Linked DNA regions of Drosophila melanogaster. The protein of the gene in region 1 purifies or fractionates together with the protein of each later gene. This does not show direct contact. Each region holds a gene or a part of one and is shown on either strand. Other genes may lie near its edges.

Evidence for each region.
Region 2: the proteins of CG7203 (region 1) and Vajk2 purify together in Drosophila melanogaster (affinity purification with mass spectrometry, with the first as the bait; one large-scale study listed by BioGRID). This does not show direct contact.
Region 3: the proteins of CG7203 (region 1) and CG4962 purify together in Drosophila melanogaster (affinity purification with mass spectrometry, with the first as the bait; one large-scale study listed by BioGRID). This does not show direct contact.
Region 4: the proteins of CG7203 (region 1) and mol purify together in Drosophila melanogaster (affinity purification with mass spectrometry, with the first as the bait; one large-scale study listed by BioGRID). This does not show direct contact.

Annotation. Positions count from the first base shown.
Region 1 is NT_033779.5:7,749,560-7,758,049, reverse strand, and holds CG7203 (uncharacterized protein), read left to right. Parts: upstream 1-4,863; 5' UTR 4,864-4,942; coding exon 4,943-4,948; intron 4,949-5,235; coding exon 5,236-5,619; 3' UTR 5,620-5,880; downstream 5,881-8,490. Other genes in the region: CG46025 (uncharacterized protein), read right to left, coding at 1,120-1,733.
Region 2 is NT_033779.5:13,932,059-13,936,378, reverse strand, and holds Vajk2 (Vajk2), read left to right. Parts: upstream 1-1,686; 5' UTR 1,687-1,769; coding exon 1,770-1,781; intron 1,782-2,582; coding exon 2,583-3,383; 3' UTR 3,384-3,820; downstream 3,821-4,320.
Region 3 is NT_037436.4:16,291,481-16,299,307, forward strand, and holds CG4962 (uncharacterized protein), read right to left. Parts: upstream 4,068-7,827; 5' UTR 4,004-4,067; coding exon 3,992-4,003; intron 3,929-3,991; coding exon 3,569-3,928; 3' UTR 3,231-3,568; downstream 1-3,230.
Region 4 is NT_033779.5:14,992,000-15,001,812, reverse strand, and holds the start of mol (moladietz), read left to right. Parts: upstream 1-4,253; 5' UTR 4,254-4,297; exon of another isoform or gene 4,298-5,099; intron 5,100-7,777; 5' UTR 7,778-7,914; intron 7,915-9,306; 5' UTR 9,307-9,341; coding exon 9,342-9,506; intron 9,507-9,813.

The DNA.
Region 1 (8,490 bases):
ATAACAATTTCGCTTTATGACCGCGTTTCATGCCAACGAGACATACAATAATTTCCTCTAATCGACTCGTAGCGCGGAAATTGAGCAAACACTTTGTATCGAGTTGGAGGCACCGGTGGTTGGGTGGTTTCATTTATTTCTTGTTGGCCAATAGGTTCGAAATTTCAACTTTGGCATTGCCTGTGTGATGCCATTGGTTCATGCATGATGTGTTAGCCAGAGATGCCTCTATAGAGATCATGCCAAGACCAATTCATATGTCTGATACCTACATTTAAGGTATTCTGCATTTAGCTGAGCTAATGTTTTACTTCATAATTTTAGAAAATAAATGATTTCGAAGTTGATAGTTCAATTTTATGATTTAAAAACAATTGAAATTTGTTAGCTAAAAATGGCAGCACAAATGCCATTCACATTTGCAGCCCGTCAGCAAGTCATTTGATTTCCGGTTCGCCCACTTCTACAATGGTCTCCTTCACCTGCTCCGCCAACTTTAATTGCAACGTCTTCCGGCTTCGCGATTCGTGTCCAAAGAGCCCCAAGAAATAACTTTGAGAATCTGAGAATCTTAATGTGTAACCTTCGGTGGAATATAAATGCACTTTCCCGCTGTCGTCATTTTCAATTTCAGTTAGTTTTGTTTACAAGCATTGCCAGTTTCCTTGGTGGCATTTTTCTCTCGACTGAAGGTCGCAACATAATCTATGTTTTTGTTCTTCAAATCCCATTTTGCCTGCTGTTATTCACTTCATATTGCTTGTGAAACAGAAAATATGGGATAGAATGGATTTTTTTTAAATTTTGTTGTTTTTTTTAAACATATTTGGGCACTGAAATATGTATATTTATGAAAGTATTGATATGCGTTCTAATCAAGGGTTTGAGTATTGGATATCATTTTATTATAGCCCACAATGGTTTTTGTTCCTGGTAAGCTTTGCAAAAAGCTTTTATGAATTGTTACACTTAGAAAAATTACTTGAGCCTTTCTAAGTGATATGTCTTTTAAAGCGGATCAAATGAATTGATTCTTAATTATAATTATAAATTAAAGTAGACTCACAGTGCAAAAACAGCAACTTTTGGTTGAATTGAAATCTCTAGGATTAGTCTTACTTGCACTTGACTAGGTCCTGCAGATCCTCCGGCGAGAGAGCGTACTCAGGATCTAGCTGCGGAGTATTACGCTTCCGACTGCGATGTTTCCTGCGAAGACCAGATGGACTTTTTGCCCTGGAACGGACGCCCAAGGCAACGTTATCACTGCTCTGGAAGCTGGTACTTATGCCCGGATCCTGGATGACAATGATGGGAGCACTCGAGGAGCGCTCATCGGTGTACTTGACCGTCGAGGCAGCAGCTCCGCCAGTCAGTTCCTCGGCCTTGGCCTTCTCGGCAAAACTATCGCGCCGCCACGATGGCGTGAGCGTTCTGATCACATTCTGGGTGTCCGAGAAGCCCTCGTAGTTGTACTTCTTACGCAGACTCAACCCCGAGAGGTACTCCAGCGTTTGCCAGACGTTCATCTTGTTCGCACTGTACGAGGGCTCCTCGTCGACTGACCAGCAAGCATTGCGTGCAATCCGCTGGGCCAGGAGCATAGTCACTGTGGCACATCGGTTGCCCGGCGGCGGGGGTGCCCATTCCCGGGAATCGGATAGTGCAACAGTTCCGCCCACGCCCACCACTCCGATCCCGGCGGCATCAGACTTCATGGCCGTGAGTGACATATGCGGAACAGTTTGTTTAGGCCCAAATTGAAATGTAATTAAGTTTCCGATTCCGTTTAAAACTTCGTCCTCATCCTGCGACGACCGAACTTTATATGGCTACCATCGCACACGATTCTGGCTGTGCTTCTGGTTCTGTTGGTGATTCTCTGATTCTAGGTGGGATCAGGCGCCACCACCGTCGGCGTGTCCGTTGCGTGGCAGCCACGCGCTCGTACTCGCTGTTTATTGTATCCATTTTGCGCCATTAAAAATAATATCATTCTGATTGAGTGACGCGCCGCTTAAGTACTTTCCTTCTTCGTTGTCCTCGCACTGACACCATTTTCCGCCTGCCGCCGCTTTCCTTTTTATTGAACACGCAAAGTGTCGGCATTGCATTGGTGTATTATATGGTATTTCTTTTTTCCCACACCCAAATGCCTTTTCATTACCCCGTTCGCGATTGTTTTTTGGGTGGGCCCTCGCCTCCTGGCACCTCGCATCATTGTGGATACGCAGCCCAGACAAAAGGCAAGTGAAACCCATGCTAATGGAGCGAGGGGTTGCCCAATGGATTTCTCCACCACACACTGTTTTGACATTAGCCCCATTTCGTAGGGTACCTTCGCTATACAGTGAGGTTTTACTAAGATAGCAATTTAATAGAAAATTGAATACATTAAATTAGCTTTTTCTTCTATTGATTTATAAATGCATCTTCTTTGGTGCATAATTATCTAAAGCACTTTAGTTGCACTGCAAAAGTTCTTTCACAATAGATCACTTAAGAACCCTTATATTTTAACTTTTCTCTCGGTATTTGCTTTATGCAAGCTCAAAAGTGCGCAGTTTTCTAAGGACACAGTCCGTTCAGTTTCAATTTACCCCATATCTGGCAAGAATCTTAACCTTGGTGCCACACAATTCCCGACTTTAGTGCTACATAAAGCAAGGCAACCCGCGAAACGTGAGTTTTCCGGCGACCCAGTGAGAATAACCAAGTCAATTTCCCGTTTCCATCACTCCTGTTCCCCAATTACTTGCCAAAGTTTCGCCGACAGCTGATGGCTGCACTTTCTCCCCTTCGCGCCTCTGGGTGTTCATTTGCATTCGAGAAGTTGGAGCCATCTATCAAAGACTTCGTTAGCATCGCGTGACTGAATGTTGTCCGGAAATTAGAACCACCCACTCAAGCCGAAGAAGATTTTTTTTTGACAAGTTTGGGCAGCAGGATTAGTTTATGGATTAGTGATAAATAATCTTATCAGACGATGTGATGCAATTGAGTGCGAATATTTCCCCATCGCACATTTAATTGGCATGGAAATATTTCTGGGTGTGGCAGGCCAATACTTTATGTGTAAGTCTGACAATTTGATGGATGCAATAAAATATTATGGCTGCGGCTGTGGCAAAGAATCTTAATTGAATGGCAGCGCGCTGCATTGGAGCCAATCGGTGTCAGAGTCACCGAACCAACCAATTGGCCAACTCGAGTGCACAGGAGAAAAGCAGCTAATTTTGGAAAGGAGTTTTGTGTTGTTAAGGTATAAATTTGTATTTCAAGATTAAATTCAAAAGATTTTTTTTGATTCCGAATCCTATTCACTTGATGCAAAATCCTTTTTTGATTTACCTACAATTACTAAGTATTCCTCTCAGTGTAGCCATAAACAGCACGAAAAGCACTTGACGGCAATGAATTCTGACACACGTGTGCCAACCACTCAAACTTCCCCACCGCCCACCTGGCTGGTGGTTCGACCCTCAATGTTCTCTACTCACGCAACAATGACATCGGGATCCTCCCACCACTTCTTGTTGGAAGGCTGCAGCAGCAGGCTGACCTGTCGCCAGTGGTTCTTGTGCACCACCTTTGGATGAACATAAAAGTTGGAGATTAATGCTCATTTTATGGACTGTATTCCGGCAGTGGTTACCTTATACTTTTTGGGATCGTATGCATTGTGATCTTTCTCCGTAAACACCAGGCGTGCCATTTTAAAGCCTCCGAATCCTTTCTAGAACCAAGCCTGATTCTGCTTCTCAGTGGGAGTTCTTTACATCAAGTATAGTACTCGAAAATATAAAGTATGCTTGCTTGAAACGGAATTAGTTATTTGTGTATACTGACTGAAGATTTTGCTTTGACAAAAGCTTTAATTGACTGTTAAATGAAAGATATAGTGTTGTTAAATTTTTAATTTCACAAAAATTTACCCTAAAATGTACAGCTCTTACTTAGAAAAAATTAAACGTATGACAATCTCTACTGATATTCAAATGTTTTGTAATTTATTACGTAGAATTGCTTTCCGACTTAAAAGCGAAAGTGGTTTGATTTACTTATCGTTTCTTAATGGAATCAATAAATATGTTCTATATATACAATTACGGATTACTCTACAAAAGGGGGTATAACTTAACATATATTAAATTATAAACCATTATTTTATATTTAAATACCAAATAAAATTTACAAAATTTAATTTTCATATTTTAAGGATTGGTAATATTTGTAGTGAAATCGTTTCCTACATATGGACTCTGATTTTTATATGGTATTCCTGGACATATGTTGGCGTTGACTGCATTAGTGATATGCAAATGCAATCGAGAAATCTATAGTCGGTGACCAAAATGGATCAGTTTGCCGACAACTGGCGGCCGGCACATTAATTTCAGGGCGAGCTAACCGAAGTGAATTTAATTACATTCTGCTGATGAAATTTAAATGGACAGCCAGTGGTGCTGAATGTGTGTGGGGCGATGGTGGTACAGAGGCACAGTGGTGCTGCGGTGGCTTGTAATTTGCCTATCCATTGTTGTTAGGGGCACCCGAGACATGGCTTTAGTGTATATCATATACAGATATTGAAGTCATGGTTATGGATTGGCCGAATCAAATGAGACCAGTCTTGTTTTCGTCATGTCAACCGGTGTGGCTAATTGTCGCGCACTTGAATTGTCGTCAATGAATTGTGGTTATTGATTCGGGAAGGTCAAGGGGTTCGGGTTGGGGTTGGGGTTGGGACTGAAGGTATTACGTGGTTTGTTCTCTGGCCCGGTTTCCGCATTTGTGCAGCAAACATACACATGGCTGATCAATCCGAGAACTGGCCTTATATGCTAAATGAAATTATGGATCGGAGCTATAAAAGCACTTGGCCAACGGGCAGATGTCAGTTAGTTTCGTTTCAAGCGTCACTGAGATCACAAAAGCCAACATGAAGGTGAGATTGAAGGGATATCGGATAACTGGAGCTTAGTTACAGCTAGTGTTATGTAAAAGGACAACATGAAGGGATTTATGTTGTTTTTAGTAAAACATTTCTATACAAATTGGTATGCTGCAAAAGTAGACATAAAAGATCTTTATCGAGTTATACATAAATTAATATCAGATCGCTGAACACATTACGACCCCATTCAGAGAAACTCCAAAATTAAAAAAACTTCAAATAAGTTATTTTTATCATAGTTCCTGAGTTTCCATCTAAATCAAGATTCTTATTTTCAGTTCGCCGTTGTCGTAGTCCTGTTCGCTTTGGCCTGGGGTGTCAACAGCTCGGTGGTGCCTCTCCTGACCTCCGCCCATGGTCTGGTGGTCGGTTCTCCCGCCGTCGCCGGTTCGGTGGCCATCCAGGCATCTGCGGTTCCCGCTGCCGTTCCCCTGTCCCTGTCCCCAGCCGGACCCGTGCTCATCCAGTCTGGACCAGCGGTGGTTGCCGCTCCCGTTCCCGCCGCTGTGGTTGCTGCCCACGCCCCCGCCGTGGTGGCCGTCGCCGCTCCGGAGGCCAGCTATGTGGCCAAGACCCGTGGAGCTGTCCATGTGGCTCCTCTGCCAGGACATGTGCAGTCCGCTGCTTCCGTGAACTTGGAACCCGCACCAGGCACCTGGTAATCACCTGAAATGACTTCTGGATTACCCCTACATTGATCCTGACCGCCACTTGCTCGCATCTTTACCACATTTTTTGGTTTTTTAAGTTACCGAAAGGTCTGTCCTCTGCTGAGATCCCGTTGGGTTCTCATTTCTTCAGCAATCTAAGTCAATCCTATCCAGTCTATCGCTTTCCGCTTTACTCTCTGGTCTATATTTATCCACCCCGCTGTTGTCACATGGAAATTTGTTTCTTTTTGAATAAAAAAATGTTATTAAAACAGTTGAAAGGCGTTTTAGTTACGGTTGCTAGCGCTTAAGTAACTATTTATATGCCATTAGCAGATGTATCTAGATCGTGGTCCCAGAATATTTATTTCAAATAATTTTTACGCAATTACCAGGGGATCGACTCACCTTTTTTAACGGCAATTAGAAGCCACACCCTTAGCCCAACTCCCACGCCTTCAAGTGCAGCAAACATTGGACAGCTAAATGGCTTAAAACAATCTCGATCGATGGCCGATTACCGATGCCAGTAATTAATCAATTCCGGGGCCTCAGACCGGCGCTACAGCAGGGGCGTTGACAAAAAGCCGCTCCAGAAATGAGACGCAGTTGCTCGGCAGCTGGACAACTTTGTTGCCAACTCATAGTACAAACTGCCGTCGAACCGAACTGGTCTTTGAACTGAAAACGAGAGTACTACTCGATCTGGAGCAGGGGCGGTTTGCCTTGATCGCCGCACACTCGCACTTGCAATTATTAATAGAAAAATGTGCACAAACTTGATATGGCCGCGATGAAGTTAAGTAATGCCCATGCAAAGTAATGCGGTTCAGATCAAATCCGCCTTAACGCCCACTGCAGACCCCTGAAACCCGTTAGGCGATGATCCCGATTCCGATGGGATATATAGGACTATATGCTGTTATATCTAGTGAAATATATGAATAGTAAATTGCAATTTATATTAAATATTAATAATTTCAGTATGCCAAAAATATAGTTGAACTTTCTTCTTTGCACTTCCAGCGGCTGAGTAAGGAGTAACTGATAGTTGAGGAAATCGACTCAAGCGTTCTTTCTTATGTCTATATATTTTTTTATAAGACATTTAAAATTATAATTTTCAGGGTATCCCATATGGTGAGTTCAATACAAAAATATTAAATATACTGGCTTAATGCCCCAACATTTTGACCGAAAATAGACTTGACGGAAAACATGATAAGCGAAAAATGCCTAGGCTTTCAATAAAAGTGTCAATTGTCGGCGAAACGTGAGGCCAAGAAAGGGGATGGGGAATGGAGTGGGAGGGGGAGTCGACTCAGTTGGGGGGCGGGGAGCCAAGTGGCAGCTAAACAAACGGCAGCGAAACATTTTGCCGCGTTGTTTAGTGTCGTGTCGGCAGCCAAGCCCCATGGCAATTGGCCATAAATCTAGACCCAGCCATTCACTTTTTGTTTTCTTTTGCTAGCCACAAGTGGGCTTAACTCGATCGGCGGCTGCGTGCACGCAAAACCAAAGAACGCATGACGCGGCTACCGAATGCAAGTTGGCTTAAACCGCCACCACCAGCCCCCTTTCGACAAGTTCAAGTTTACGCACTTTGCGGCTGCTTCCTGCTTCGAACGGGTTCACTGCACTTGAGCCGAACGCACTTAGCTGTTTCTGGTTTCTACGCAGAATCGAGTTCAACTTGGCCCACTGCGTTGGATTTGCTTTTATTATTGGTGGTTTACGCAATTCGCACTTCATTCGTTGGCAAGGCGAAGGCAGTTCACTTTTAGTTCACACGGAAACTAAGTTTGCCAATTTGCATCTCAAAGGTAGTTGATTTTAGATCATATTATGGATAACTACTATCTGACTTAATATGATGAACTATTTAAATAGTAAATTGTTGCTGGTAAATAAAAAGCATATTAAATACCATGGCAAGCTACTTCTGTGCAATTTAATTACATATAAAGAATGTTGACTTCATAAATTTTGTAATTTATACTATATAAACAATTATTCAATTTAAGTGTTTATTATAAGTTGAGTAACTTAAAGATAATAAAAAGTAGTTCCAAATAGATCGTTTATTGCTCGAAAATTTGCCATATCCGCATTAGTTTTATTGACAATAAAAAGCATATAAAAATGCCACACCACATTTATGGAGCAGGTGTGTAGAAAAGTTGGACTTTTTTGTGAATCCGCATACAGATATTTTTGCAAGTGTATATAAGCATTACATCATTTAAGCCATCCACTCTCGTGTGGGCGATGAGTTGTTGAATAAGGTCAGTGTTCCGGCGAAGGATCGAGAGCAAGTTCTGCAGTCGAGTGTGATTCATTCTGCAGAATCGAACAGAACAGGGCGTTTTTCCGTGGACACTTGCAATCCATTTTCGAAGCCATAGAAGCAAAATAAAAAGATATACCGCTCCATTGCTGGATGGATTTCGTAACACTATAACGGCACGGCTTTCTTATCCGCACCCACAACTGGTTGGTGGCCTAAATATAGTTCGGCCGGCAGTTGCAACCTGTAGCCAAATACTCGCAGTCGAGTGAGCGACAAGTATCTGGCGGGTTGCATGAGCGGCAAACAAACTTGTTGCACACACTCGTTCAGATTTCTGTGATTTTTCGTGGCAGCAGCTGGATGGCAAAAAGGAAAATATGCAGGAAAAAAGGCGGCCCATAGCCCAGAAAATTCCGACAGCCACTTGCTAACGTCACGAACACACTAACCAGGCCATAAAACTCATATAGAACTCGTTGAATTAGCAACAATTGTGTGGCTAAGCTCTTTGTTAGTTGTGACAGTTGTGTAGTGACAACCGCGACCACTAAAGTGGTTAATTATTGCCTTCTCTTAATGACCATTAGGATTTC
Region 2 (4,320 bases), 6.2 Mb from region 1:
TTATGTCCGCGGCGTTATGTCCACAATTAAATTAATGCACATAAAACCAACATGATTTGGTGCCCGTATCTGTTCTCCTTTGTGCGCGTTTTGCGGTCCACTCATTGTTCACACGTTCCATTTACATGGCCATTGGCGAGTATTTCCTCTGCAGCATTAAAATGTCAAATTACCCACACTGCCACAGCATTCAATCAATGCACCCATATCAAGGCTTAAAACGCCGCTCAGCCTGGCCAAAAAGCTGAGAAAAAAAAACCGAAGCAAACAAGAATACGGAGCCAAACACAAATCCGAGATCAAAAGTTCAGTCACGAAGCCACACAGAATCAAGCAGACTATGCGGCGCATGTTTCTTCTGCAGCCAAGCAATTTACATTCAATATGCAACTGCAACTGCAACTGGATTTGTAACCTGAAATTTTCGGAAATGTGTGGCTAATGTGAATTTAACTTATGGCTGTGGAACACTTTGCCCGTTGTGTCTAATTTGATTATGTGACTGAAGTGCTCGCGGTCAGTTATTTATTAATGGCTCAAGGCTTTGGGGCAAAAATTTCCCAACACTAAGGACTAGTCAAAATTATGCATTAGAAAAGTATTTGTGATCTCTTTTTTAATGTATATATTTTTTAATAATTATGAAGGTTTCGTTACCAGCCAAAAATTACTCATTTATTTATGGTCCATAAATTTTAAACTCTTTATGTTCATTTTTAACTTTGTTAATATTTAATTTTTAATTGAATAATTATTATGTTTATAATTAATGTTCTTTTCGAATGTGTTGATTTCCAAAGATTTATGTAAAATGGTAAGAAATACAAGTAGTTTATTTTATTTGTCGTGTTCATTAATGTAATTTTACCTGGGAAACAAACACTAACACTTCATGTATTTATGTGAGATTTTTACAAAAAATATATTAATAAGATATATTTGTACAAAGGGAAAATGATAATATAATAATGGCTACATATAACAATACTAACTGCGCAAAAAGACGTCGGAGGAAGGGCTCCGATCTAAAATTACATAAACTTTCTAAGGACTTTTAAAGCTGTTTACTAAAATTTTAACAATACAAAATTTATCACTTTTCGAATATTCTAGAAACAAACTCTGAGACTCTAAAACTCTAAAGTCGTTGATTAAAATTCATACGTATATGATTAAAAAAGTCTATATTGTTTGAACTGTACAATTAAGAGCGATTCTCCAAAAGAATTGATTGGATCTCTTTGGTAGATTAAGGCAAAATTAAACGAAATTACCCATTTGCTATGTTTGTTATGTTGGCTATTGGCAAGAAACGATTCTTTCTACTAAACTGTGCCCCCAGTTACTTGGTGTCTGAATACTTTCAGTAGTTCCCAAAGATCGCTACAGTTGGAGCTCGAGTGTTCACAGATACGCACTCATACAGGCGCAGATCACACGGACAACATGGACACTGTCCGTGTGAGGCACCCTCTTTCGAAAAAGCTCGCTTGCTGACGCATTTCCTTTGGGCCACGGGCTCACACGGACAGTTGGCCAAGAGAGAGAGGAGCTGTCGAACGGATGGAGAGCGAGCTTTTTCAACACGGCTGCTGCGATCTCGATTCACGTCGACTGCGCAGCCGCGGCTGAAGACAATCCCGCCACAGCATCGGCCATATAAAAGCTCGCTGCGTCTGTGCGAAATTATTCAGTTAACTGTTGCGGGTTGGTTGAGACATACAAGCCCATCTTGATCGCAAAGTGTTGAGGAGCTAACCTAGTGCAAAATGAAATCCATGGTATGTTCGGTCTGAGCTCAGTGTGTTCTCCTTCGAAGTGCTGCTTAGAATAATTGTGTTTCAAAAACTCGGATTCAGTTAAAGTGACTTGCAAAAGAATATATATATATATATTTATGGAACAATGTAGACATATCGGTGTTGCAATTAAAGTATTTTTAAAAAGGTTTTTGCACGACTTCATCAGCTCTTTCAAAAGCAAGGATAGAACGGATATTCTAAAATGTCTCTAGATATGTTACTTTTTTGTGGCATTTTGGTTTACCCAAGTAAATATGAACATGGTTTTAAGAAAGGATTTTTAGAGAGAAAACTAATTGAAATATTTAATTTTTCCATTACCAGTTCTACATTTAAATCTTATTGAAAGAAATCACATTTCATAATTACTAAAATCGAAAAGTGTTAAGGATCATTTTAACCCGAAAAGGATAGGCAGTCCTAGAATATGTTTTTAGCATTTAAAAAAGAAAACAAAAATGTAGATTCGTATTAAAAAGCTTTGAACGCGAAACTACAAAGAGTTGAATTTGCCTTCTTCCAATTTGTATTTTAACCGAATTATTGCGAAAATATCAAGCCACATTAAGTATACGCCGCATGCCCAATATGTCAGGGGGCCTAGGCCACAATTGAACTTGGCTGGTTGCCCAGCCAACTTTCCACCCAACATTGCATAATTGTCATATTCCAAATTATGGAGTAATCGGGCGGAGGTGGAGCCGGAAGCGGCTGCAGTTGCATAACCGCCCGACCAAGCCAATTGGGTTTCTATCGAATTTAACCCACTTGTCATTGCAGCTCATTTTCGGCCTTGTGGCGATGTGCGTGCTGGTGGCCAACGCCAGTGAGGAGGCACCCAAGAAGGCCGTCGAGACCGCCGAGCCCGCCGAGAAGAAGCAGGAGAAGCGCGGCATTGGCCACGGTCTGGGCTACGGATACGGACCATCGGCGGGAGGCGCCATTCTGGGATCCGGCATCGGTGTTGGAGTTCCAGTGGCTCCCGCTGTCGCTGAGCTGCCCACCCAGGTGCACACCAACACCGTGGTGAGGACCGTGCAGGTGCCCTACCAGGTGGAGCGTCACGTTCCCTACCCCGTCGAGAAGACCGTCACCTATCCCGTTAAGGTGCCCGTGCCCCAGCCCTACCCCGTGGAGAAGATCGTCCATGTGCCCGTCAAGCAGATCGTGAAGGTGCCCGTCGAGGTGCCCCAGCCCTACCCCGTCGAGAAGGTGATCCGTGTGCCCGTGAAGATCCCAGTTGATCGTCCCTACACCGTCCATGTCGACAAGCCATACCCCGTGCCCGTGGAGAAGCCCGTGCCATACACCGTCGAGAAGCGTGTGATCCACAAGGTGCCCGTCCATGTGGAGCGTCCAGTGCCCTACAAGGTGGCCGTGCCCGTGCCTGTCCACGTTGAGAGCCACGTCAAGCCCGCCGTGGCCGTCACCCACACCGTTGCCGCTGCTCCTGCCATCATCAGCCACGGCTACTCCGGACACGGAATCTCCGGATACGGAATTTCCGGACACGGAATCTCCTCCTACGGCAGCTCCTCCTACGGCGGCTCCGCCCACGGTGGCTACCTCCACAAAAAGTAGATGAAATCGCAATGCTGTCGAGGGCCAAGCGAGAAGTGAAGTCGGGTGAAGGCGAGCGAACCAACCAACAAGTCGAAAGTATCCAACAGACATTAAGAATCAAGCACCCCTCCCTCTCTTTCCACGCCCAGCAACCGCCAACGTACGACTTACAAATTTAGTTTTAGTTTGTGATACCAACCGAAATTCTGGAAGGATCGGAACCAGGAGAAAATCACACAACTGACGCAATCCATTATAGAAAGCTTGCCAAAACCCATCCGGGGCGTTTGAAAAGTGCCTGTCTCCTGGCATCCAAATCCATCGAGTGTACAGTTCTTTTGTAGACAATCACAGAGAAATAACTGCTGACGAGTTGCTCCTTCGACTTTTTCACGTAAATTTCTTTTCTATGAAATATTTGTACATATTTAAATAATGTAAATAAAACGAAAATTAAAAAAAAAAAACTTAAGACTTGTACTTTCAGAAATACTGGGCTTTCCATTAAAAAAAAAAAAGATAGAAGTTCGATAGGATATTTTTAAGGTATATAGGGTATTTTCACTTAATGAGCCTTTTGTTTAAGCTGAAAGCTTAATTTGTATTGCTGCATTGCTATTTTGGAATAAATACATTTTTTTACAGAAGTTATATATCTGTCAAGTTAAAACGTAGCCATAAAGGACTACATATTATATATTTACATATTATATATTTATATATAATATATATATATATTATATATTTATGGATATTTATTAATTTTTATGAGGGGGTGTGGAGTTACTCTTAAGTGGATTAATACAGCTTATTTTAGTCAAAGGATATTCCCACAACTATGCAATGATTTATTTATTTATTATAAATTTTGGGAATTATTCTGAATTGCATTACAGTGCGTCAAGTAATTGTTCGCAAACAATGTTTTTAAAACTGTAAATTTAGTGAGTAGGCC
Region 3 (7,827 bases), on another chromosome or scaffold:
AATTCCTCAGATATAAGATATGCACCTTAACACACCCCTCTCTTCGGATCAACATCTTAAACTCTTCCACCTCAGAAGCCATTATCATGTGCACTTCATTCGCCCAAAGCCATGGATCACATTTACGAATGCACGCGCTACACTGCAGCAACTTTTACTGCCGCCGCCACCAGCTGCAAAAAAGTATAAAATATAAGACAAAAAAAAAAAAAGCAAGCAAGTGGCAAGAGCTGCAAGAAACCCATTGCGATCACGTTCCAGGCACCTTTTTATGCCTTATGACTCTGATTGATGGCCGTTGCCGAAATATAAATGCCAAAATATCACACGCCAGTTAAAAGTCGATTTATTACCGCCGCCAACAAAGCCATTTTCGTTGCTCTCAATTAGCCGTGGAAAAGCCCAAAAGTTGGCCGCGTCTTGTGCATCGCCTCCAAGTCGCCCAAAAGTGGGCAAACGTGTGCATGGAATTGCTACCATAAAATCTGGTCCAGAATCTGTCGTAAACAGGCGAAATTCCCGCACGGGTTGCCAATTAAATTTGGGTTGCCAAATGCGCGACACGCGCTCATCGAAATTGTCAACACAGGAGCAGGACGCTGAAAAAAAAGAATAACAGAGGAAAATCGAGGACGGGAAAGCCGGGGAAATTAGCATAACAAAGTGGCTAAATCAGAAATCGATATGTTCACCTTCGCTGAACCGAAAAAGGGGGCACAGATAGCGGGAATTTCCACGCACGTTTTTCTTTTTGTTTTCCTTTTGTGTTCCAAGTGGAGCACACGCCCAGCTTTTGAGCTGATTCTACTCCTCGAGTGGTTGCTTCGCGTTTTCCCCCATTTTCCATACAAATTTTCCACACATTTTCCGCCGCCGCTGGCAACAGGTGCTCTTGAAACGGAGCCGCATTGTAATGTAATGCGTGCTAAATCGCTGCACGTGTTTGGCAACAACAAGTGCGAATTTGTATCCCCCATCCACCACCAAAATAATACTTTGTTGCAAGCTATTGAAGTTTCAGCTGATTTGATTCACTCAATTGATTGCACACAACCTGTTAGCTGGAAGATATGCTACAAATATTATTCAAATGGTTTTTCGTTTCGAGGAAACCGTTGAATGTATACCAAATCATAAAATTATTTTCGCTCATCAATTTTGAATATGTACACGCTTTCCTTCAATCGCAATTTCATTTGAATTTCAATGTTGCCCCACCATATTATTTATACAATGCGATAAAGCTCCTTCTTGCTTATACGCAGTGAGGTCAGTCGTTGAACTCGGTGCAAGGACTTCCAAGGTCAGAGCTGCATTTAATTATCGGTTGCAAATCCATTTCACAAATAACAATCGAGTTACTGCTGGCGATGCTGGCGTGTGGGTGTGCGGATGATTTTGCTTGCAGCTGGTCAATGTCCTGGGCAAGGTCAGCGGAAAACGTGTGTAGTTCCCTTTTCCCCAGTACGTGCCTGTCCTGCGGCCAGGAATAAGTTTCCCGGAAAGGAGCTTGGCCCTTTGAAATTAATTATCCATGCTTGGAATCGTAACTTGCCAGCAGAGAGAGAGATTCTCGTTTCAATGCAGTTTTAATTGCACTGCCCGAGGGTTTGGACTTTTAGTCTTGAATCCTGGAAAAGGTCCTTGCCCTGCCTGAAATCAGTGACTTGTTAATAATTTAGAGCACGAGTAATGCCAATTCCACTTGAATAATTCAATTAGCATACTCTCGGGCTAACCAGATATACTCTACTCATTGGAAGGGGGAAACCGAGAATTAAGCATGTAAGACTTTCCACTCAATCTGCAGGGCGGCAGGTAAACAACAGGTGTGTTGCATTTGCGAGGTTGTGGGAATCTCTTGCGAGAGCTGCAATTGTGCCATGAGAGCACCTGCCACAAAATGCATCCACTTAGTGTCAACCGACGAGCTCGAATGAATATTCAATGGCCTGGGAGATGTAGGAAGCAGAAGTTGTGGCCCACCTTTTGTCTGCAAATAATCGAAGGTCGTTTGCCGAATTTTCGCTTGACTAGCTAACGGTATTGCTGTCTTTATAAGCTATAAGCCCATAACTACGACATGGTTTATGAACAGGGGGACATAATTTATGCCGAGCTGAACTGAGACAAATTAAACCTATAGCTGGGCACAATTGAGTTGTATGGCTGTCAAGGTCGAAGAGCTGCCAACAATGGCCTATTGTTATGGGCGATATGAATTATATTTAGCAACCCCACCCATCATCTTATGATTTTCACTCGGCGAGATAACATTTATTAAGTAAAATCGTAAATTGATTTCCATTACGCCGCCGGCAAAGCGCAATACACGACTTTTCAATTTTCGCATGAATTATAGTTGGTATTTTCGGTCCAGGATCAGCTGGCCGGCGTTAAAAAGGTAATTAAGTGACTCAATTCACTTTTCAGCAGCTGTTGATGTGCTCCCATTTTTCATTTGCGAAACTGGGCGAAAAGCATTTAGCTGCGACAGTTGGCCGGCCATTAATAAAAAGATATTTCAACGCACTTTTCACTGGTCAACCTGTTGACAGGCGCACGCGTTTGTCGCTTGAGTCTTTCGTTTCCCCGCAATGATAATTGTTAGAGGAGGGGGGGGGGGTATAGTGAGCAGGTGGGCCGGGCAAGGCGTTGCAATAAAACAATTTTTTTTGGTATTTGGTTTTTTCCTTGCAAGTTTCAAAACACCCGACGGGAGTCGATATGAATCGAGCAAGTTGCTCAAGTAAAATTAATTTGAAGTGCAATTGAATGCTGAATGGCGATCGGATGGTTGGGGTAAGTTCGCAGTTGAAAATCATTGAACAAGCAGTTTTTTGTGAAATGCTCGCATCTACGAACTAGCAATACTATCTGGAATCCTTATAAATGCGAATAAAACTGATCACTTCACGCTCAACTAAACTAAATTGAAAATAATTCCACACTTCATAAATAGACATTTGTCCCCTTAACAATTAGTTTTGAGTTAAGTGGCTTACATTGCGAAATGTGTGTGTGTTAAAACGGCAAATTAAAATATTTCCACATTACTCTGAAAATTCATATTGCTTCCAAAACGTTAGGTATCGTAAAGATTTCATTGAATTGTGTGTAGTAAGGCATATTTGGATATGGATCTTAAATATCCATCCGTCATAATTTCAAGTGAATATTTTTAAACTAACATATATAAGCAACCAGTAAATGAAATAAGCCATCATATTCGTTTAAAGAGTCATTTATCGTTTATTTACAAAATGTTATGAAGCCACAATGCATGGAGTTGCACCATAATAACAAAATCAACGAAACTTGATCCTTCATCAATCTCTCTCGCTCTCGCCGCCTCCCGTTAGTTGTCCTTAGTTCTCTAGTTGTCTCTGTCTCCAAGTGGGTGTCTGGGTTTTTGAGGGATTTTGTACACAATTTGTATTTCCGCTTCTGACTACGAAATGCAAATTCAACACTTTGACGGCAGCAAAATGCGAATTATCCGCTTAATGTTCTCACTTCAATCGGGGTCGTCAACGGGGGGCTGGTATCCTTTCCGACATCCAGATCCTTAGTGCAGGTAGGCTCCGTGTCCGTAGCCGGCGTATCCCAGACCGTAGCTACCGTAGCCGCCATAGGATCCATGGTAGGTGGAGGTGGAGTGCAGAGCAGGCACGGCATGGACCAGAGGAGCGGCATGGACCACTGGAATGGCCTTGGTGGCCACCTTGTAGGTGTTGGCATAGGAGGTGGCCACCGGGTGGGCGACAATGGGAGCGGCGTAGCTCTTGATGATCGGGGCGTGCGAGATCACAGCCGGAGCGGCATAAGCCGGAGCCAAGGCGGCGCCGTATCCCAGTCCATATCCATGGCTGTAGGGCGAGATTACTCCGGCATTGGCCACGGCGCACAGGGCAGAGATGAGGGCAATCTGCGGAAAAGAAACTTCTATGTTAACTTCATACGAGCGGTAATCCTTTAATCCTGATCTTACCAGTTTGAACATTTTGCTGGTTTTGTGTTGTTTGGACTTCTTGACCGAAGAGCTGAATGTGTTATGCTTAGACGTCTCAAGTAGCCCTGTTATTTATACCCGCAACATGAGAAATATTCTGACAAATCTTGGCCCAAAGAGCGGCGGAGAGGGAGAGCCAACACGCCCCTTTCGACGGCCGAGAGCCGAAGCTTTGTGCATTTGCCGACCAGCAGATCGCGAAAGAGATCAGTCACGCGGCGGCTTTGGCTTGAGCCACTGAGCCACCGCCAATTTTAGCCACCGAATCCCCAAGATTTTCATGGAGAACCACCACGAGCACTTAATTCAATTTGTATTTTTTTCGTCAGCTATTGTCGGCGACTTTTGCTCTAACGGAAACTTTTATATTTCCATTCATTTCGTCGTGGAAATGAACAATTGTCTTCTGGGGGTTTCCAGCTGAGAAAATTCTACGGCTAAATCTGGTTTTGCCTATTAGTAATTTTGCAATTATTCCAGTGATCTAAATTGGCCATTAAGTAACATTTCCTTTGAAAGAGCACTTAAATTTATCTATGAATATTGTGTTTTATTCAAAACCGTTGAATTCACGTGTTCAAATTATTTAAATATAAGCCTGCAAGCCTATTAAGCATATCTGCCTAAATCCTTTCTAAAACCGAAAACACGCACTTTATTATCAATCAGCTGACTGACTGACTGACAGCTCATTAGAGATATAGAGATCCGTAGGTGTGGAAAATGTTGTTGTCCAGATGCAAATGATCAATCGGAGCTGCCTCTCCACGCAGCAAATAAACTCAAGTGGTCCATGAAAAATTACTCACTTTAATAACTGACAAACACAGAGTGGAGATTGGTGCAGTTGGTCATTTTGGTGGCTGCTGGACGGCAGCTGGTTTGCCTATATTTTGCATGCATTAATATTTAACTGATTTGTTATCGCGCACATGGCGTATGCGTAACTTGGGTGGAAGGAGCGTAGTCAATTGGAAACATAGGTAAATCATATTTGCCGCATTTCGAATGGCCTGCCAGATTTCCTAATAGCCATGCTTAATTCTGAAACAGCTTTGAAATCATATCACGGGATCAGTCAGAACACGAGGCTCGAAAAGAATTGCAAAATGCTTGTTTTGAGCCTTGAATATCGGTGTATTGAATCAAAGAGTTGTATAAAAATCGAAATTCTCTCAGGGCGAACAAAGACCGACTTAAAGTTTATGAGTCATAAATTAATAAACAATTACGATGGCGACAATTCTTTCGACTCAGCGACCCTGGCCATCGTTGCTGATTGGACCCCAAATGGACAATCTGCATATCAACGGGGCTTAGTGCTAGTCGAATCTAAAACTAAGCCGAACCCTTCACCAAAGCCAACACCTCGTGATTTCGACCCGTGGCGTTATGCAAATGCTAACCAAATTGTCGCATAAATCTCAATCGAAGGCGGCTTGATTGACACCAAACAGGATGCCAAATTGCGTGGCTATCTATCGATCCGCAGCTACAAAACCAAATATGCCACCCACTCGGTTGTTTTGGATTTTTGGTTTTATTCGTGCTGGTTCCGATTGCAGCTGACCACCAAACTCTGGTGGCCTGTAATTGCATTTTAATGGCCTACCAATTGCATTCTGTTTGTCTGCTAGCCATTGAGCAACGTCCATCCAATGCATACATTCGATTTTGATTCAGATTCGCATTTCCCAAGCGACGCCCAAAATACTTTGATTGCCAACAAATCATTCAAAAGTCGAAATTAAAAGCCGTCAATTTTCCAACTCAACTCGTGGCTCAACTCAATATTTTTTCCTTTCGTGATTTATGCGATTTTTCTGGGGAAATAGTCGGACCTGAAATTTGTCCGCCCCATTCTGGTTAAGGAAATTTCCCAAGTCGCAAGTCTGGAGTTCGCAAATGGAGCAGAGGTGACTAGTTCGACTTACATGCATTTGATTAGACCAGCTTGTGACCGCAATGAGTTATTATATATTTTTTGTTATAGTTTAACATAATTGTCGGTTGGGTGGAGGCCAATTTGCATAGCTGACTCCCTCCCATCTGCGGATCGCTGGCTGTGACTCGAGTGTGGCCAATTAAGTATTAAGTATACCACATGTTGGACGCCACTCGGTCAAGGCCGTGCTTACCCCAGCCTTTGTCACAATGTCGTGCACATTACAATGTGTACAGCAAAGCCTGACTATTACTCGTTTTATAATGATTAATACCAAGAGGAACAGCGACAACAGCCAAGTGCAAAACTGTAACAATGGCTGGCAAAAATCACATTTGCGTTTACTTAATTACCCTGGAAAACCCTCAGCACTAAGATCAAAGTGAGTCTAAACCTTCATGTATTTATTTTTAATTAGTTTGCAAATATAAATGCATACCAAATCCGTGGAGTAAGCTTTAACTTAAGTTAAATTTTAATATATACGTATACTTAATATTGTAAAAACCGTATTAGATACAACTCCAAAATCAAAGCATCGTATCAGAAATTTTCCAGAATAAATACAGTTTCCTTACATTCCGTAAATCGTTTCGTAGCCCGACTATTACGAGTGGGTATTTTTTAATGAGTCTGAAATATCATTCCGTGATTATGTTTCTAGGGTACCAATCAACGCTTTGTTTTTCCACCTTCAATAAAGCAAATGTCAGGCAGACACCGCTGTGAAAAGCTCTAGAAAAACACACTGGCCAACGTGGAGCAGTGTTTTCATTTATGGAATCAAAGTGAACTAAGGTGGATTAATCCCATCCTCCCCCTTTTGCCACCCTTCCTTGGCTACTGTATTATGCCAGAGCTGTTTTACCTTCGACTCAGCCTCGAGGTTGGGCCAACAATTATCATTTGCAAAGTTGGTTTCATTTTGCTTTGAAGTTCTTTTTTTTTGTACGGGGACATGGCGCAATGTGGCTCATAGCACGTAAATCGTTTGTTTTTGTAGCTAATTTGGTTGTTTTGATCAGCCTGCTGCATGCTAAAACTATTTTGGTCACAGATCATTTGACAGCTTCACTGAATGTTCGCTCTCTGGCTGCCAATGCAAATAGACCAAAATCTGCTTCATAATTAAGTAGTTAAATCGAAGCCGAGCGTTTCCACTTTGAGTTGCACCACAACAACTGAAAAGGCAACAACATGCTGAACAACTCACGCCCCTTTTGACGCTCGTAAATTAGAGTTGTGTGTCGCCAAATTGTATGCAAATCGTTTGACTCCCAGTTGCGGAGATTTATGCGAGGGGCTGTCCGAAATAATTCGTTACTCGATTAGTGCTTTTTAATTGAATTTACTTCTCATGTGGGTGCACACTTCGCATTCCCCTTTTCCCCAAGTTTTTTTTTTTCTATTGTTGTACAAATCCAGCAGGTTCTAGTGCATCTAATTTGACTTTCACTTTTTGCTGCCACTGATTGCTGTACGATCTTAGATTGTTCTAGAGCAATTCGGTGACTTGTGTAGTTACTCACCCTGAACTTGTGCTGAAATCAAATTACTGGGCGAGATTTTAAGCATGATTGCACACCTGTGAGGGCAGTATCTGTATCTGAGTTAGAGGTGGCAATTCAATTTATCACGAGCTTCAGCTGACGGCCGAACAGGGACCGTATGGTCAGGACTAAGATCCCTGTTCGGGCGCCATCGTACCGTTCCTGTTCTACTCTCTGCAGTTACTCTCCATATAACCTGCGGTTATATATGGTTTCATTAAATACACCCTAAGTTCACAATTCTGAACACGATAACAATTTTCCATCCCTATGTCGCGCTCTATGAACTACCAATCTGCTGATCAAGTTCACTCTGCTTT
Region 4 (9,813 bases), 7.2 Mb from region 1:
CCAAATTCAATTTTCAGCTTTGTATGCCATGGGCAAGGCTAACCTCGAGCCACGAGCAGCGATTTAGATTCAGTCTCAGTATTTGGATCGGTCTGGATTTCGGGTATTAAACATATATAATTTGATTCAATTTGGTTTCTTGTTGTGACTCGGCTTGTTTCCACTTCCTTTTCGCCTTTCAGCGCGCTCGGTAAAATATGATATAATATAAAATGATATGATATCGGTATCGGTTTATAAGCCCTCCAACCCACTTAGCTGATAAACAGGTGATTAAGTCTCTTGTGTCTGTCAGTTGATTGAACTTTAAAGGTTTTCCAGCGACTCAGTGTCACATTCGTTTGGTTTCTCGCTGGGTGGCCCACTATTTGGTAATTGATTGACAATGATTGACAATCAAACTCCAGTTTGTATGAGCATATATTTCCATATAGGTAGCGTGCTCAATGGCTGGGCTTATTATTGTATCCAAGGCTTCCGTGCGAAGTGTGCCTCGGAAGTTGTTAGTGGGTGGAAGTAATTAAATTCGATTTTAAACATTCGATAACAACGAGAGTGGCGGTCAATGGTGGCTATGTAATTTTTTTGTGAGGGTTCTGTGAACTAGTGGCAAGGGTATCGCATCCGAGGTCAATCAGCAAGGGAAAACCTGGCCATACTTCTTACAACTAAATACTTTTGAGCTATTTTAAGAATTTATATAAGTAAGCATATTTCAAATATACTGATTTATATTTAAATACTCCTCATTTGTATATATAAGTTTTAGAGTAAACCATTTTTGATTACCAATAAATACAATCAATGAAGATAACTTTTGATGGATTGTAGTTCTAAACAGTGATTTTATTTAATTCAAAATTACCAATTCTTCTCATTGCCACCTCGTCAAGGTCGCACCTGTGGCGCCCGAGCACCTTTTAAGTGCCCCCCTTCCATCAACTGCCACAATTAGCCTCCAGAACCACCCAAGTCGTGTGTGTGTGCCGCCGCCTGTCACATCATCAACGCGCTCGTCAACAAAACAAGCCACCGGCCAAAATTGTATTAAAAATTAATTAAACAAAAAGCTGAGACTAATGTGAAAAACAATATAAAACACATTTGGCGCTTGCACTTGACCTTCCTCATTGCGAGCACTCGGACCAAAGAAAAAAAAAAAACGAAATGTATTAAATGTGGGAATTCGGGGGCTGAAAAGGCGGCAGGCATGCCGCATGCCACGTAATTCGTCGGTAGCCACTGTTTTTGCTGGAATTTCTGAGTTTGAACTTCATGAATTTAATTTGTGCGTAACGTATATTTCGCTTGTTTATAGTTTGTCGGGCTGAAATCAAGGCAACTGAATCGACTGAATTCAATTTCGGCGACTGTCGGCCGGCTTACATGGCGTATGCGCAACTTGATTAATTTATTACTCGGCGCATGTCTCTGAGTGCGTATGTAATTGTAATTGACATTCAAGTCGATTACTTCCTTATTTGGTTTTAAGTCAATTTTAGTGACGCATAGTTCGCTTCACTCGGGTAAACCTTTTGGAGCGTGAAATAAACATATTATTTTATCACTCAATTAATAATAATACAAAATACAGAAAATCTTAAGCCGTTTGCAACATTTTACTAATCATAGCTTATTCATAAGCCCTGCAAATCCAGTAAGTTATTATAATTTTTAAAAGCAATCTGCTTATTTGCCATCGCAAGCACTGCGGCTTCCATTAAGCCCATTATAATTATACTACAATTACCATTCCATCGACAGACAACAATCTCCCATCGCAGCACATTTAATGCACTATCATCGCACTGAACGGCAAAATCGAGAAGACCTTGAACTTGAGACGATTGCAAAGTAACTCCGAGAGCATCAGCACTCGCTTTATTTCCATTATAATTTTCCATTACACTGCCCTTTCCCTTTTTTTTTCGTGGTATAAACCTGGGGATATTTTGTATCTGCTTTTTTTTTTCTTCTTTTTGCCGCTGACAGCTGGCAGTTGAGTTATGAATGCTTTTAGTGGAGGTTCGCCGAAACTGAGTCAGTCGAGCAGTTCCAAAATCGGCAATAACAGAAACAATGTCCAACCGAAAGTGACCGCCGCGTGGTTTGCATTCCTGATATGGGACACGTACGGTGTCCGTCGTTTTTTTTTGTGGTCTACTTCGTCGGCGATTCTGTGGCCCCAGGGACCAACGACCGTCCTCGGTCTGGGCGCGCCAAATCCGTAGGCATCGCGACACATCCGGATTTTGTGTCTGTTTTTTATATTTTCATTTAAGTCTTAAACGGTAGCCGCATTATGCGTAGCTCAGAAGTTATCTCCTCTTGTCGAGTGATTAATTTTAATTTTTTTTTTTCGCTTTTATTGCTGAATAATTTTTATTTACTGCTTGCAATCGATAAATTTTTGTTGTTCGAAAAAGGGCATTTCATGTTGGCCATTCCCGTGCGGCCTGCAGTCGTTGACCGCTTTGAACTGACCTTGCCGCGCGAATTTTCGTTAATTTCAACTTTGTGGTCACCGCTTTGCTGCACTGGTCCGGGATGCTGTTGTTTATGTTTTTCAGACTTTTCTGGTTTTTATCGCCCATCAAGGTGATAGGTTTGCATATAAATGACGCTAGAACAAAAGACTTTGGCGACGAACTCGTGGTGACTAAACATGTGTACGAATTCACTGTGAGAGCAGTCAAAAGAATTGGTTTGCCCCAAGATATTTATTTTAATGGGAATGAATCATTGGACTGCGTAGCGGAAGTTTATTCGTAGCTAGGGAATCGATTATGATGAAGTCCGTTTGCCAATAAGCAAAAAAAAAAAACTAAACACCAGTTTTAAAAACCTTTTTCGAAGCATTTTTAACATAAAGTAAATATTTCAGTAGTTTAGATACTTCCTTTATAAATTGCATGCTGTAAAAATAGTTATACGACTTTAGAAGTTTTTCAGCCAGCTTTAAGCACCACATTTTTTTCCAAACACAGAATAATACTTTTTTAAATCCAAAGACTAAGTACATCGGCTAAACTCTAGAGAGCCTTACGTATAATGAATTACTGATTTTACAGCAATATTTACATTTTTGTTTATGTATGTTTTTATGGCTAATTTTGCACATCATAAAAGATTCACTACTAAGGCAAAGACAACAAGATCTAGCATACTGCGGCTGAAAAGTGGCTTTGGCGTCGACCAGCCAAATTTGCAACTGTCGAGATTCACAAGTCGGATGGATTGACTGGACATAAACAGAGATCACGGAGGCTAACTTGGTGATTTGGCTTGGCGTTGGTGCGTGGCACGGTAGTCGCTAGTAAAAATTCAATTAGCAAATTAAATATTAATTACCAGACGGGTCTCTATGCTAATTGAATTAGCAATAGTAGCAGCTGGCAAATAACTAAATAAAGGAAAAAGTATTGGGGGTTTTTAAGTTGGAATGCTGCGAAGATGGAGTTTTTGAGGATTCGTTTTAATATTATCCAATATTTGGCACCTATTTTTTCTGACATAATTGTTTAAATTAAAGAATGTTGTATGAAAAGTGGAAATTGCAATTTAAAATTTGAAATTTTGATATTATAACGATTGCATTTTTGATTATACAATGCAATTACGTTTCATTAAGTTTTATTTTGGTTTAATAATAAATGTCTCATTTTAACATACTACCTTATAAATAAATCTTTTGTTTTTATGTCCAGTAATGCATTATACATTAATATTTTAAGTGGGCCTTAATTTATATCAACCAAATTAAAATGTCAGATGATAAAATTACGTTTGAGAGTTTTATTTTGTTTCCTTTTTTGTAACAATGCAAGTTCTAATATTTTCGGAGCACAGCTGTTTATACTAATATTATTTCTCCTCGTGACAGGTGCCAATGCTATTCTCGCCCGGCTGATTAAAGTATATAATTTGCCGCTCGGCTGTGAATTTAGTGTGAGGCCAGGCCCAAGATGAACCAGTTTGCGGTTGGAAAGTGTGGCAGCCTAGAGTCGGACAAGGTCCCTGATCAGGAATAGCCCTGGCGATATAGCCCAAGTTCCCTGTCGGATTTTTTGATATTTTTTATTTTAATAATTTTTTTTTTGATTTTCTGACTTTCCGACATGACTGCTTCATAAATTCACACTCACTTAAGCCTGCAATTAGCGGTCGAGCAAAAAGCTCCCATCGCTTTGGAGCTTTGGCGCTCTGTTGCTCTCTTTTGGGAAGGTTTTGTCTTTTGCTCACCGCTCTCGGCGTTCAGTTGATCGACGGCAAGCTCTCGAAACGGACGCAGATTTTTGTAAGTCGCCGCCGCGCCTGCGCATTTTAAATCAGTTGCAACAAAAAAACAACGAGAGGCAGCGAAGACGAAATCGAATTGTGTTTTTATTTGTTTGCTTTTGTTTTGTCTGTGTGTTATGCCATGCACAAAACCACCGTGTTCGTAAAAGTGGAGAAAAATCAAAAATCGAAAATTCAAGCCGAAATAAGTTTGCCAAAACAAAAAGAAACCGCAAAAGCCGCGTTATAATAACGCAAATAACGGTATTAAGTTTGAAGCTCATCTAGTTATTTATGCTTTGCTCCTCGTGGTTGTCTGCAAAAATAAAACAAAAAAGCTTAAAACAAACAACAGTGTCGAAAAACCTTAACAATTTGCGCGCACATAAAATATAATTAAAGCCAGCAAATTTTTGCCTTAAACATAAAAAAGTTAATCAACTTGGTTGCAATTAAATGTTGCAATTTATTTTTTTGCAACTAAAGTGCGAAATATTCAGTGCAATACAATAACAAAAATAAATAAGTTTCTCTGAAGCAATACAAATAAAAGTTTCTCTGTAGAAATATAAATAAAAAAATACCAAAATCCATATTATCAAAAATTCAATAAGATATGTAAATAAATAGTTTGGTATACTCAAGCAAAAATAGAATGCTGAACAATGGATAATAAATTATTTATTTTTTTGGGTAACAAACTGATTGCCGAGACTTAAAAGACACCGAGAACTAAAAATAAAATATGATAGATCAAACAAAAAAATTCCCAAACATCTAAAGAGGGAGTCCGCCATTCCTCAAACGTATGTGTGATGGGTGTATGTGTGGGTGGGAGCGGGAAAATTGTGTTGGTAATTTCTAATGCACATTTTCCCTTTAGTATTACCCAACACAATGTTTTATTACCCTTACAGGAGTAACAGGAGTAACTAAACCTTTGATATTTCGATATTTATTAAAACATGAAAAAGAAAATTGATTATAACAACTTCCAGCAATTTTAAACCTTTTTTTTGTATTTTCCGCGAAAGCGTACATAAAGAGCGTATTTTTTTTAATACCCCTTCCTTTTACTGTATTTTCCTGCCTGCCCTTTTAGTTGTCGTTGAATTTGTATGACGTGTGTGCATCAGGTTGATTTTTGTGATGCGTTTTGCCTATGTAATTTCCATGTCAGGCGTTGGGATTACTTCATCTCCCGTTTCATTTCCTATATGGCCAGATGATTCAAACCAAACTGACCAGCGCAAAAATGAAAACAAAAACTACTGCTACAAAAAAACTAAAAAAAAAAGTTGCACGAAAAAGCCGGTTGAAGGCAACTCTTACATATTTACACGCACCAGCGCTCATTGAACACACGCCGCCAGCAGCAACAACAAAGCTAGCACGGGAAAAAATTGTTTTAAACAGTTACTAATATTTTTATTAATATATTAGTAAGGATTATATTGATAAATAACAGTACTACAAAAAGTAATATCAAGATATTCATAATATTCATATATGACATAAATCATACAATTCCGAGTAATTATTTTCTCTCACTGCATTACAGCAACAGCAACAAAAGCAATATCAACAGGGCGACACAGAAACCTGTTGTTGTAGCTCTTGGTGCCTCTCTTGCTGTCTCTGTCTCGTCAAAAGACATTTGCAGAGTTTCCAGCTGCGTGTTGATTATGTCAATTTCATGTTTACTTCATTTCCTCAATCCACCGGCAAAGGTGTTAGAGAGAGGGGTATAGTGGGCGGAAAGGGGTGCGCCAGCAATTTCACTTTCGTTGGACTTGAAAATAAAAGCTGCAGTCTCTGTGGCAGTGTGAGCGAGTGCGAGAGAGAGAGAGAGAGAGAGATTATTGGAGCAAGATGGAAGGAGGTTGGAGCTTGGGAAAGAGAGCAAGTGAGAGTGAGAGTGCGCACAGCAAGTGTGCTGCATACGGTACTTGGATGCTGGTGCTGCTGATGCCTCACTTGCTTTGTGGGGCGTTGCTGCACCGTGGGTTATTGCTATTTAATGTTCTTGAGCATAAAATTGTGGATCGTGACTTTGGGCTCAGCAAATAATTCGTTTCACTAATCCGTATTGTTTCATATATAATATATTTTAAAAACCAGGTGACTAGTCACAATAACTAACTAACTGACTAGTTACAATAAAAGTTTTACCCAATTTTTTCAGATATTATGATGAAATCTTAAAAGAAGTGATACCAATTAGAATGGCTAAGCTCTGAGATATTTGAAGATTATTATTATTATTTTTGTTTATGAATTGTTATACTCTCAGTTTTCATATTTGCTTGAAAAGTTAGTTTGTTGATGTTTTAAGAACAATTATATGAATTTTGCAATGTTCATACGTCAATATAAGGATTATTATGTTACCATCCTTTTAATAACTGTACCACTGTGCGCCGGCGTCTTTTGTGTGCTACTCGTCGCATATTTTCCGTTTCGTTTTGTAACTGTAATGTCTGTTTTTCCCATTGTCCGATTGTTGCTGGTTGTCGCTTTTGTTTTGCGCTTATAACGTAATAACGTAATGTGCTCGAAGATTTCCACATGCGATGCGTCGCACCTTACGTTTTGGTGCCAAGTCCATCGCCGACGTCGACGTTCATTGTTTTTGCAGGCAATTGAGCCAATAAACTGACGCGAATCGTAGCGACTTACAAATTCCTGTCCGAAAAATATGCGAAGGTCAACCAGAGGGGCAGCACCAACAACCACAACGATATCGAATCCATAACAAAATAGTTGAGAACTCCCGCAAGTGGAGTTTCATACGAGTATGTTTGGTATTCGCACCTTCAAACATGATTTCACGGACTGTCAGCTTGGCAAAAATTCTAATTATAAATGAAACAATTTATTACCGGGTTTTTAAAATAAAATGCAATTTATGTGCAAAGTCTGGCGGCGGCGGCGGACTTGACTAGTTAAACCGGTTGACTGCCAGCAGCAGCAGCAGCAATGAAAAAAAATGGAAAAAGAACCATTGACTCAATGGGGGTGCAGTCAGCAACAGCAAATTGCAACTGCAAGGAAAACATTTTTCTTAAATATACGGAATTAATTAATAGAAGTTAAACAAAGGATAATTTCTTTAATAAATTCTAAACATTTATTTATTACGGCAGTGGTGAATTCGACAAAAAAAATTATAATTTAACCAAATGTATTTATTTGAAATCTATAAATTACATCTATATAATAAAACAAAAGCTTCGTTATATAACTCAGCAATAAATCTACTAAGTGCAATGTATAAAAAATCCTAATGAACATGTAGTTCAAAAATAACTCTAATAAATTTATCTCGAATAAATCAAACCGTTTAAAATCAAATAATTGAATACATGTTCACAGCTGTGAAAACAAGAATATTTTCGGCAAAATATTTCAACAAGCATAACCGATGTGTGTGTAAAATTTGTGCCTGTCTATATTATTTAATTCATTAATCATAAATGCAAATTTCTTGATTGTTTAGATACGTCTTAACGGCTAACTCGAAGCTATAAATTGGACATCAAAATTGGATTATACAAAAATAAAAAAAAATAACAAAGTGAACACGAAAAGTTAATAACAATTATTTTGTATGCCGGTTTCTTCTTGACAAGTTTGGTAAGTGAACTTTAAGACTTGATGAATGAGACTGAATGATAAAATAAATGTTAGATGACTTGTTGCCGCAATAAACGCCGGCTAATGAAGAAATAATGGTTTGCAAACAAATTTAAAAATAGGAACAATAGAATCATTGCGGAACTGGCCAACTTCATAGCCTTAAGCCAGCGATCTGAGTATAATTCTCTTTCTTATTCCTCGTGTTGGTTTACCCTCGAGCCACTCAACTTTCACAAGTCAGAACTCGTGCTGAGTGGGAAAACCCAGTTGAAGCATACTGAGGGCAAGCTTAATGTCTGTATAAGATACCTACATCCGCGTGCCTAAGCACGTAACACGTTGCGTATGCGCAATTTCCATACTCCTTCAATCAAGAGATGTGTGTTTGTGTGGGGGGTTAAGTATTAAATTCAGCAACACAGGTTATTATTTATCAAATATGAAGATGAAATACTGTGGGCCATTAAAGTCAAAAATATACACAGACTACAAATGGTACAGGTCATCAAATCATTATTTTATTAGTGAAAAAGTAGTAATACATTCTTGGGTATTTTTCCTTAGATTAATAATTTTGTATTTATTTATTCATTTACCAAGATAACATATACTGAATTATACGTAATACATGAGTTCCTCCCTCGATTGCCATTAGCATATGTTTTTCATTTTTGCCAGGGTATTTATAAAATCGCTACGACCGTGCAGCCATTGTGTTAAATCCATTCAATTTTATCGACACTTAATTATAACTTTTGCCTACGTCATTGCTTCAGAAGCAGAAATCAACAATCGAAGCTGATGATGGTTTCTCGCCGGTTTCAGTTGCTATTTTGGTTTCTTAATTGTTCAAGCCCCCCACATGGCATCTAAAGATTTCGACGTAGCGTTTTATTGGTAATTTGTTTGTCTTTAGATCCGGCTCTAGGTCTCATTTCTGGTTTGTTAACTTTGCAAACATTATTGTAGAGCGGTCAAATCAATTTGGGTTGTTTCTGTTTCTAAAAGAACATTATGTCGTTCCCCGTGTAGATTACTTAACTTTTATACATTTTACATTTCCGGGTGATACTCTTAAATACCCAATGAACTTAACAAAAATATTTGCATATATTTGTCTGTTTACCAAACTAATTTTGCATTGAGATGCCTGCCACTTGAATCTAAAGTATCTGCTACCTAAAAGCTTAGTCACGAATTGCAGATACGTGGTATCTGCCAGATGCGATGAGATCAGTTGTGCCGAGTTTCGCATGATTTTGCAATGCAAATCTTTTAAATTAAGTGCTCTTGCCAAATACTCCACGCAGATATATCCGTCATATTAATTTTGGCGTTTTTTGCCGCAATACTTTTTATATAATATCTCAATTTTTTTGGCTCGCATAGATCCCAAAACCCCGACATCAGCAACAGCAACCAGCATGAAAGGCTGGTTCGACGCGTTTCGAGACGATGGGGGACCAACGCTATATTCCTTCTCAAATCGAACACCCGTAACCGGAGATGTCTCAATCGTAGCCGTCTCAGTGCTATTTGCCACATTCTATGTAGCATTTTTAGTCATCTTTCCGGGTGTCAGAAAACAGGTGAGTATAGAGCCCATAGAAGACATTTAATAATAAGGCTCATATTTCAAGATTGCATTTAATATCTGACTAACTTAATTTGACGTAAAATATTGGTAATAAAAGTCAAGAAAGCTCGTTGGTTCAAATTAATCAATTTATATTACTTTAAAAATGCCACGTTATTGAGTATTTATTACCGTATCGTGTACTAGTCAGACTGGAATCAATTTTCTCACGCTGTTGCCAGCTGGTCTGTTTAATTGAATTGTGCCAACTACTTGGCATCGTCGTAATCGCCGGCACGTTTCCAACAGAAGTCAGATAA